Coturnix japonica: one gene and its partners. The protein of the gene in region 1 interacts with the protein of each later gene in a pairwise test. Links are inferred from orthologs where the notes say so. Each region holds a gene or a part of one and is shown in the gene's direction. Other genes may lie near its edges.

The links.
Region 2: the proteins of NPAS2 (region 1) and ARNTL interact in binary tests that used the Homo sapiens proteins (3 or more experiments, as listed by UniProt). The link is inferred for Coturnix japonica from reciprocal best matches to the Homo sapiens genes NPAS2 and BMAL1.
Region 3: the proteins of NPAS2 (region 1) and ARNTL2 interact in binary tests that used the Homo sapiens proteins (3 or more experiments, as listed by UniProt). The link is inferred for Coturnix japonica from reciprocal best matches to the Homo sapiens genes NPAS2 and BMAL2.

The regions. Positions count from the first base shown.
Region 1 is NC_029516.1:120,177,469-120,181,125, forward strand, and holds part of NPAS2 (neuronal PAS domain-containing protein 2), read left to right. Parts: intron 1-2,792; coding exon 2,793-2,939; intron 2,940-3,657. UniProt on the Homo sapiens protein: Transcriptional activator which forms a core component of the circadian clock.
Region 2 is NC_029520.1:11,881,546-11,885,040, reverse strand, and holds part of ARNTL (aryl hydrocarbon receptor nuclear translocator-like protein 1), read left to right. Parts: intron 1-187; coding exon 188-294; intron 295-643; coding exon 644-794; intron 795-1,186; coding exon 1,187-1,275; intron 1,276-1,799; coding exon 1,800-1,908; intron 1,909-3,307; coding exon 3,308-3,401; intron 3,402-3,495. UniProt on the Homo sapiens protein: Transcriptional activator which forms a core component of the circadian clock.
Region 3 is NC_029516.1:62,652,803-62,656,056, forward strand, and holds part of ARNTL2 (aryl hydrocarbon receptor nuclear translocator-like protein 2), read left to right. Parts: intron 1-1,463; coding exon 1,464-1,551; intron 1,552-2,981; coding exon 2,982-3,090; intron 3,091-3,254. UniProt on the Homo sapiens protein: Transcriptional activator which forms a core component of the circadian clock.

The DNA.
Region 1 (3,657 bases):
ATGAGTGTCCCATCATCCTCTGATTTCAGAAATGACAGAGTACTGGACCTAAGCTGCTGCTGCTGTTTGCGTATGGTCTTATCTTGCAAGATCTCAGTGCTTCTTCCAGTAGCATATAAAACATAAAAAGGATCCCTGCTCTAAAATAACAAATTCTCATTTATCTTTTGTATTTAATATTCTTTTCACGATTCCACACCAGCATGCGGTGAAGAAACAGCATATCAATTATCTGCTCTGAGCATTCATTTTCTTTTACAGATATCCCTCTCCTTTATTCATTAATGCACTTTCAAACATCAATTAGTTTATTTATTGTAACCCAGTGCATGTTCTGCATGACTTTTTTCTGCTTTCCATTCTCCCATCCCGCAGCCCTTGCTGGAGGGATGCTTTCTGGTTGTTAACCAAAGGCCCTGCTGCCTCCCTGTCCCATCACAACACTTTTTGGTGCTGCAGCTCCATCTTTGCCACCAGACCCTGGTGCCATTCTGTTGCATGGCTACAGGCTCAGTCCCTTGGCAATTTCTGAACTGGGGGAAGCAAACCTTGCCTACTGAACAAACCTTAAAGCACAGCACTAGGTGCCGCCTGAATGTCAGTGGTTTGCCTTAAACAAAGTGCTCCCTATTAGAATATTTGTTTGTTTGTCTCCCTCATTGTAATAAATTAAATCCCCTACAACACAGCGGATGCTGATGACTGAATAATAATCAGCACTAATAACTCCGTTTGGGATTACACAGGTGTTGTTTGGTAACAGCGAGAATGAACGAGTTGTTCTGTGAACCTCAAAGCCAATGAAACCTGGTTTGCAGGGACTGTGCCCTGCAGGGCTGTGCAGTAGGGGGTCCTCCTTCCTATTGCCTGGCCAGAGCTCACATGGCATCACGGCAGCACGGTGCTGTTGAGGCTCTCACAACTCTGCTGCACGTCTCCAGCATTGGGCTTAAAGTAGGAAGGCAGAAGGAACTGAAAGGTTCATTTCATTAGGAAACCAAGCAAAAAATAGAGTGTCTTGCCTTTACCCAGCTACCGTTTTAATGAAACTTGCAGGAACAGAATGTCTTCGAGGCATCTGTTCTTCTGCTCAGCACCCTGCAAGTGAGGGAACACCTCAGCTTGCGTGGTTCTTTACGGATCTTTTTCTCCCTTGATTAAACTGTGATCCTCTGCAATAATAGATATCTCACAGGTTAAGTCTGTCGTGTTTGACTGTTCTTGGGAAGCTGGTACAGTCACCTGTACCATGCACTTTTCTGAGGATCCCAAGAAGTTTGCTATTACCTAAGTGAGATGAATATCAACTTTATCTGATGCTAATGGCAAAGTTAAAGCAGTGCAGTGCTTTGTTGTGGAACATTTTGCGTTAAGCTCTTTTAATGTATTATATAATTACAGATTTCTCCTTTAATTAGTAGAGCAGTCGACGATCTTGAGATAAATACTTTGGGGTACAGGTCAATTGCTATTTCTCACCGCACAAAAACAATAGAAGCTTTGTAGTCACAGGGATCAATGCAAAAATTATCAGTAAACTTTGGGTAGGAAAAAGCAAGGAAGGAGTTTCTCACCCTTTTCCTTAGCAGCTCTCATCTGGTAGACCAGCTAACTACTGTTGCTGTTAAGTGGGAAATGAGAAACCAAATATCTTACATATAAAAGATGCTGAGTAAAACAATGGAGTAATGACTTAAAATCAACAGCAATACATTTTTGTGTGCTTCACCCATCAGCATAGAGCTACAAAAAACAGCCACTGGAACAATGCGCCATCTTCGAGTTCAACAAGTCATAGCAAAATGCCTTCTTTCTTTCCTTTTCTCCTTTCTTTTCTCCTGGATGCTTCCAGCACTGCGTCTTTTCAAAGACAATTTGGATTCTTGGATGCCCTGATAACAGAAAAGCACACTGATTTTTTTTTGAAGCCGTAACACTGTGGGTTTGTCTCAAAGTGTGTTTTTTACTTTTGGAATATGAAGTTGTGCAATGCAACAGTTCCGAAGCCAATTAAAGTTATAATGAGTTTTGGTGGACATTGAGTTATACATGTAGACACCAAAGAAAACGGAGTATTTACGGCCATGTTGTCCCCTCTTTGTTTATGGAGCCATTCCATTTGGTGCAAAGCATTGCTGCTATGGAGGCTGCACTTTCTTCTTGACCCTCATTAGTGATCTCCATTCTACATTATTGTTTAGGATAGCCTTTCTCCCACTGAGCCGAGCTATTTGTTCTACCTCGTGTAAAAATAGCTTAATGAGTATTTCTTGCAGCTTGGCCACTGCACAGTGGCAGAAATCTAGAAAACGTTTGCTGTGGCGAGCTGTGGCATGATCTTATAGTAAGTAAACAGCAGAATAAACCATTGCAATGCAGCTGTTTCTGCATGGAAAAACGAAAGTATTGGTAAAACACATTTGGAATACAGCTATGTTGTGCTAAGGGCTCCAAATACAAGCCAGTGATAAAAATGCACTCATTTGCCATCCAGTTAAGATGCTCTTGATATTCTAAAGCAGCGTACTCTCAAAAATGGGCATTCCGATAATTCCTTAACAGAACAGGGTCAGTTGTAAGCAGATCACTGTAAGTGAAGCAATTTAATATATGGGCGTAAAATTGAAAATAGAAAAGATTTATCTCTGCCTAGATGGTAGTATATTACAAACACATACTTTAGCCCTTTGACTGTGCTCTGCAGTCAAAAAACTAATAACTTCTTACAGAATAGTGTTGCATGAAGGCCTGTTTTCTTTGTAAAGCCTAATTTTTCCTCTTTTTTTTTTAAGTTCTCTGCCCAGTTTAGCATGTTCCAGACCATCAAGGACCAGCTAGAGCAGCGAACGCGGATCCTGCAGGCCAACATCCGCTGGCAACAGGAGGAGCTCCAGAAGATCCAGGAGCAGCTCTGCCTGGTCCAGGATTCCAGCGTGCAGGTGCGTTGCTGCTGGGAGGGCCAAGTATCCTCCTGTGAAGCACTTGATAGGGCTGGTGACTTAAAATTAGCCCCAGGGCCTAGGTGCACTGGTGTCCGATTTTTTCACTTGCTGGGGTTGCATTGAGTAAAGAGGAATTGTCCTGGGCCATGTATGCTTAGGATGCTCCACAAGTAATGCCTCCTATTTATTTCCATGGTAAATACAACCCATACAATGAGCACAATAACACTGTTCGACAGAGCTGATTCTTGGCTACAAAACACTATTTTTCACCATAGTCAGCACTACTGGTTACACATTTTCACCAGTCATGAAGAAGCGCTCCAAATTATCTGCACCAGAGGAGGTGACCCGCTGTTCCACAGCTGCTATGAAACACTCACGCACCCACTACCTCACTGTGGTGATATATTTGCTAAAATGCAGCTTATGAAAGTCCAGTAGAGAGACACGATCAGATCTTTGAATTCAGTATCTGATTGCAACTCTATACATTCCACTTGAAATTTTTCAGGTAATATATTTGTGCTGATTGAAAATGGAGTTGAAAATATACCAAAACATTGATGCCTTTTGTTTTTGTTTGTTTCTTTTTTTTTTGCAATCTTGAAACCTGCTCTCAGATTCCTTTATCAAAATGGAAAGCATGGCTGCATATTTTTGCTGTTCACAAGACTGTGTTCAGCCAATGTATCAAAATCCATAAAGTTATTTG
Region 2 (3,495 bases), on another chromosome or scaffold:
TACCCATGAATTAGAAAGAGTAATCTTCATGACTTTTTCCTCTCACCTGAAAACAACTGTCAGCATTACTTGCTCATTTCAGAGTGATTTTCAGGAGGCTGTCACAAATACTTCAACTTGTGAATAATTTTTTTTCTCTTTTTTGTTTTATTTTCCTCCTTTCCTCCCCATCCTTCCCATTCCCCAGGGCAACAGCCATCCTGGCATACTTACCCCAGGAACTCCTAGGTACTTCATGTTATGAATATTTCCATCAAGATGATATAGGACACCTTGCAGAATGCCATAGACAAGGTATGACGATTAATACATTGGGTAAATGAATTGTAAAAAATACTTGGAATTATTACTTATTAAGAAAACTACCCAAATCTGTTCAAGCTCTTTCTTTTTTGTCTATTTCTGTAAGTGCTTTAATTGAGAATGTTGTTTGCACATACCAAGCAACACGCCTCTTAGACTGCCATGGATTTATAGTGAATAATTGAAGCTTCCACTACATGAAGGGGTAAAGCTGCAGGAATCAGACTTATCTCCATGCGTGCAGGGCAGAGTTCACTGGATAGAGTTTTCTGTCAGAAGGACTCCACTTCTGCAGTCAGTGCTGCTGTTTCCCACAGAGTTACTTGCTGTCTGTTTTCAGTTTTGCAGACAAGAGAAAAAATTACAACAAACTGCTACAAGTTTAAAATAAAAGACGGTTCTTTTATTACCTTGAGGAGTCGCTGGTTCAGTTTCATGAACCCTTGGACCAAAGAAGTAGAATACATCGTCTCAACAAATACTGTTGTTTCGTAAGTATTTTAGATGTAGCAGATGCACGGGTGGGCTAAGTGCTTTGAATTACTGGGCAGATGAGGTTTGGTTTTTCCTTTCACTGGGAAAACCAGCATGTCCATCTTTGTAAGGACTTAAGAAAGATGCATTTCTAGGCTCCTATGGGATCTTCTCCCCCCTTCCATCTTTTTTTCCCTTGGGGGTTTTGCAGAGCTGCAGTGCCTTTGCAATGGAGTAACTACTTAGTAACAGTGTTTTCTTTCTGCTGTTTAGCCTTGTCAGCCCCAATGTTGCTTTGTGTGATAGTGACTCACAAGCTACTTAAACCCTGTAGCATTCCATTTTGACACACTGCACTGACTGTTCTGCAGGGCTTTCCATCACTAACAGTAACTCTTGAAATCCACAGCACCAACGTACTTGATAGCGGAGATGCAGCCTTCCCACAACTCGCAGCTTCTCCGCATAGCATGGACAGCGTGCTTCAGGCTGGAGAAGGTAACTACTTTGCCACTAGGAAAGTAGTGGCAGTTATGCCTATGTGCACACATTTGTTGCAGTGTTGCACAGAGAGCTTGTTAGTAAAGAAAAATGTGGCTTGAGGCAAAAAAAAGGGACCACTAACGCAGCTCCTGTCCATGTTGTCTGTGCTGGCAAGTGGTTCACTCAAAGTAAAGCATAAACAAGGCTGGAGAGGAGTCTGTTCAGCTGCAGAACAAAGCAGGTGTGATGAGCTATTCTTTACCAAGTCCGGACAAGAAGCTCAGCCAGATGCTCAAAGCAGGCAGATTCTGATCACCTTCAGAATGTGGCTTGCCTAGGAGCACAGAGAGATGTCTAAGAAACACAGCACAGCTGAGTCCAAGCCAGGGCTTCCTGTATGCATGAAGGTACTGAGGAAGTGGTAGAATTTAAACAAAGCTCATCTAGTTCTGACCAGCTGTGGGATTCATACCTAAATATGAATGCTGTTTGGAAAATGAAAGTTTTACCTGACCTTAGAGCTACCTTCCTTGTTTCAGGTGGCCCAAAAAGGAGCCATCCTACCGTCCCTGGAATTCCAGGAGGAACGAGAGCTGGGGCAGGAAAAATAGGAAGGATGATTGCTGAAGAAATCATGGAAATTCACAGGTAAGAGAAAATAGCATGAAGTAAGAAAAATTAGTGTAGTTCTTCATAAATGAAATTAAAGAACTCTTTCTTCAAGCTGAATACATAAGGATGTAATTGCATTTCATGAGTAGACAGCTACAGGTTCCTATTCAGGATACCTAAGACAGTCATAGCGAAAAGTGAAAGAAAGACAGAGTTACAGCCTCCTGACTTTCTGCTCTAAGAGACCAGAAATGGTAAATCCAGCCATCTCTTCTCCATCCTGTCTGAGCTGCTATGTTCATTGGGTGTCACTATTAATTTCTATAGATTGCCCTTCATTATTTTAGTTTTGGGAGTTGTTTCCCTTCCTGTAAAACTGGTCTCATCCAACAGATGCTCAGCAGCAGTAATATTTGCCATTTTGGTCCTGTCCCTCCAGTTGTGCTTGCTCTAGGCCATACACTGCCCCTCTAAGAGAACAGATTTAGCACATAATGTAACTTTCCTGTGTATCAGGATAAGAAGGAGGGAAAAAAAAGAAAAAAGCTATCACTCAGGTTGAACCAATACTCTGAAACTTGACTTCCCTTTCAGTAGTTGCAGAACACTTAATTAGCTTCAGTAGGTGTAGAAGAATACCTTACCACCTATGTTTCATTTCAAGAGCCTGGGTTAGTTCCAGTCCTTCTTGAGCAGATGTTACTATTTGCCAAAGCTGCCTTCTGTTCAGTTTTCCCAGAGGAACTCTGCCAAGGATGAGACCTCCTTCTCCACTGCTTTTCCCTGTAACTGCCTCACCTCCATTTAGTCTCAGGGTTTGTTGATTTTGTAGTTAATACATTATTCTATAATAATAACTTTTAAAAAAATAGATATTTGATCACGTTAGGGAGAATTGAAATGAGGAAATGCTGACTCAAAGGGTATTAAGTATTATGTGTATATATAGTATTATATATATATTGTATTGTATATATTGTATATATATAAATATATTTATATATATATATATAAAATGGACTGTTCTATGTACTTAGCACACTTCTCTAGCAGTAGCCCATTTAGCAAGTCTAGATTTGTGCAATGGAGACAGCTCACACTCTTAGCTGGTAGAAGCTGAGGCACAATGTAGAAGAAAAGAGGTTACTTCAGTAAGCAGGATCATTTCCTTGCTCAGTCTCAGTGAAGGGTGCACAAATAAACAAGGGAAAGGGAATTAACATGTCAAGAAGGCAAACTTTATAGACTGGGTAAGCTGGACTACTCACAAACTTGATCTTGCTGTAAATTAGAAGTTGCTATAGGTGGTATAGGTGGTTTGAATAATACTGAAAATTGAGAAAACTGCACAAATGAAGTATGCCACCTGATACTGAGGTCAGCATCCGAGTCTCCAAGTTTCTGGTGAATTCATTCCCTATTTCTCACACAATAGGATAAGAGGATCATCACCATCCAGCTGTGGTTCAAGTCCACTGAACATTACCAGCACGCCGCCGCCTGATACCTCCTCCCCTGGAAGCAAGAAGGTAAGAACCAGCTTTACAGACAGGCTTGTAATATTAGCATCGAGCACACTGAGATGATGCTTGCAAAACATTTGTGGTGCTGAACTCTTAAACT
Region 3 (3,254 bases), about 58 Mb from region 1:
CCAGCAATGAAGTCATAGTTCTTCACAATAGCCAAATTGCACAGGGAATTGTTCCTTTTGAATGAGAGGAAGAAATGAATAAGTGCATCAGAAGTGATAGGATGAAAGGATTGCTATTAAAAAAAAAAAAAATCCATCTGCAGCGTGTTGACAGGTTACTGACATTATCCATAAAGGACAAGGAAAAGCACTGACAAAAAAAATTCCTATTGATACCATCTGCATCAAAGAGGAAATGTTGCACTTTAGTAATACCATTCGTAATGTCTTCCCATCAGTACTACCTCTAAAGGGAAAGAGACATTCTATTGGATTTTTTAAAGACCAAAGTAAGTTGGCAGAAGTTCTCATCTCTGATGGTAAAGCATAGAGCTTATCTTGATGCTTATTCTGGAGCTTCTAACATTGGTGTTATATTCTTGATTTAGATCCCCTGCCTTTTGCTGAACTCTGGGAGCAGTCAAAGTTAGACAAAAGAAGTTAACAGCAGCTTTTTTATTAACTAATTTTGTGACCAGAGACATATTCCAGTAGAATGGATGTAACATCCTCTCTTGTTCTTTAATGTCCATGAGACACAGATGACTTAAGAGCTGTGCATTAAGCATCACCAAGTTTAAAAGAATGTCAGAGCTGTATCTGTACCTCTACTTATGAGCATATCTGAATTGGTTTAGCATCTGAGGAATGATCACTTCAGTAACAGGGATGCTAAAAGTTACTCAATCTGATCTTCCTGTCACAGCATTTAGAAACAGCAGTGCAGCTTACCAAATTGTACACTGGATTTTGAAATGTGGGGAACTAATGGATATTTGGTTCAAGTAACTATGCTTACTTTAGATAGGCTATTTATTCACTTATTTCCTGCCTTTCCTCCCTTACCACATTTTGCATCTGAGGATGTGATGTGAACTGAAGCATTCGGAGTGCCCCACTCCAGAGAGCCTTTCCCTTTGGGAGTCAGGAAGAGCAGGTGGAGATGGGAAGAAAGATCCAAAAGGCCCTGGTACAAAATTCCCAACGTTACTTTCATATCTGGCATGTTTGATAAAGGAGGCTGATAAGATGGTTATTAGTCTTCCCACCACCACTTAGCAGAACTTGCTTTCATTGTCTCTATTTGGTATGTGTTTCAAATATACTTATTTATTCCAGTATGCATAAATGAAACCTTGTACTCTTTGGTCTGTCAGTGTTGATGAGTGAAGGAAAAAGAAAAGCATGCTCAAGTAGTTAAAAGACGGATGGACTTTATTGATCTCTTTTTCTTTTTGCACTATAAAAACTAGAGCAAGAGAATTTAGAATCTTCGGGAGAATTTAGGACAACATCTCAGTTTAACTGGCTCATACTTCATCACTGGGGAGGAGGGATCTAGCGGGTTCTGCAGCAGGCTGTTTTTCATTTCACAATCAGCATGACTTCGTAAATTGATAAATCAACTGTGCCTATAATTTTAGGTTGCATTCTTCACCACCTGGGGAATTAAGTCCATCACATCTCTTGAGAAAGTCACCGTCTCCAGCTTTAACTGTAAATTGCAGCAATGTAAGTATATCGCCATCTTTAAAAAGCTGAGAGGTTACTGTCAGATAGCTCAAAGCTCATGTTTAAGACATTTACTCAGTCTTGTGTTTTTGTGAGAGAATGTGTAAGATACTGCCAGCATCATGGCAGCTATGAAAATTTGTTTTGTAAGATGTTTGATAGCAGCAGAAAAGCCAACCTCGGTTACTAGGATATCACTTCAAGCCTCAAGTGGGCATTCTCTGAAGCCAAGACTGCAGTCACTGTTCAGTTACTGTGATCTTTACTAAAATTATATGATATGCTCAATGTGATAAATGTGACTCTTCTGAACTTTGTGTTGCCTCAAACCTTTTACTAAGTGGTCATCAGAGTGTAAAAGTGTTTCTTACCTGCTTGAGTTCAGATGGACAACCTGAGTTAAACACCAGGTCTTGCTTTTTCTCAAACATTTTTTCTCTACTTTAACCTTAGTGTTCCTGAAGACTCCTTTAAAAATATATGCTTCGTGTTCCCAGTTTTTAGTTTTGGTTTTTTTTTGTGATGCTCAGTTAACCCCTTTCCTACTTCAGGTCTGTCTTCCTGAGAGTTAGTTGACATACATACATGTACTGAACTCTTTCTGGCATACAGCATCTCATCATAAGGATAACTTACTTGTATTCATTGAAGATGTTCCTTTGTTCTGTCCTTTGGTATCCTGTTTGTTTTAAAAGGCTTTGGTAAAGCATTTCAACTTTGTTATAATTTCCTAACAGACTATACACAAGACAGGCATCCATTCTGCTAAATTGTGTACGTGTCCTACATGAAGCAAAGGGAAAGATATTTTTTTGCTGGTATATTTGTATTTTGATGACTTCCACCATCCCTATGGTAACAAGATGCAAATTAATAATAGAAAATACTCGAGTTCGTGATTCATATGGTATAATGCACATAACATATAGAAGATACGTGGGTTTTTATCTTTTAGCAAGAATGTGTCAATATTGACATAGATTGATGTCACTGGGAATTTGGAGTTTACAGTATTGGACATGGAAATTGTATGCTGGTGCATCTTGTTGTGCTGGATTTATTTACTGATTGTTCAGTTAGACACACAATAGGGCAGATGCCAAAACTGTGAAGTATTTTTGACAGATATGTTAGTATCACCTCTTATTTTAACAAAGGACGGGGCTGTGTGTACTCTAGTTAAAAAATTAAATTAAATTTAAAAAAAAATAAAAGAAAATATTTGTATATGCAATAGGTCTGCCTTGATGCCTGCCTTTTACTGACTCATTTAGTTCTTAATGCTTTGGCTGCTATTTACATTAATTTTAATAATACTATTTTAATTTTAATAATACTATTTTAATTTTAATAATACGTTACTACTGCTACAGTAATGTAGTAATTATGGTTAACTTTAGAATTTAATTCTACTACTTCTGTTTTTACAGGTGCCGAATAAAGAGTTGATTCAGTTATGTCCTTCAGAAGCAGAAGTTCTGGAGACTTCAGAACAAAACCAAGGTGCTATTCCATTTCCCAGTAACGAGCCTCTCCTCGGTAAGATTTATTTCACTTTGGCTGTAGGAGAAAATGTTTATAATAATTCTCTATTTGTTTTAGTGCACTGATATATAACCATGTACAAATTATAAAATTTCAAGGGGTTTGTCAGTATCTTTAAGATGAGGGGACTCTTAATAGAGATGCCTTGTCTTACAGCT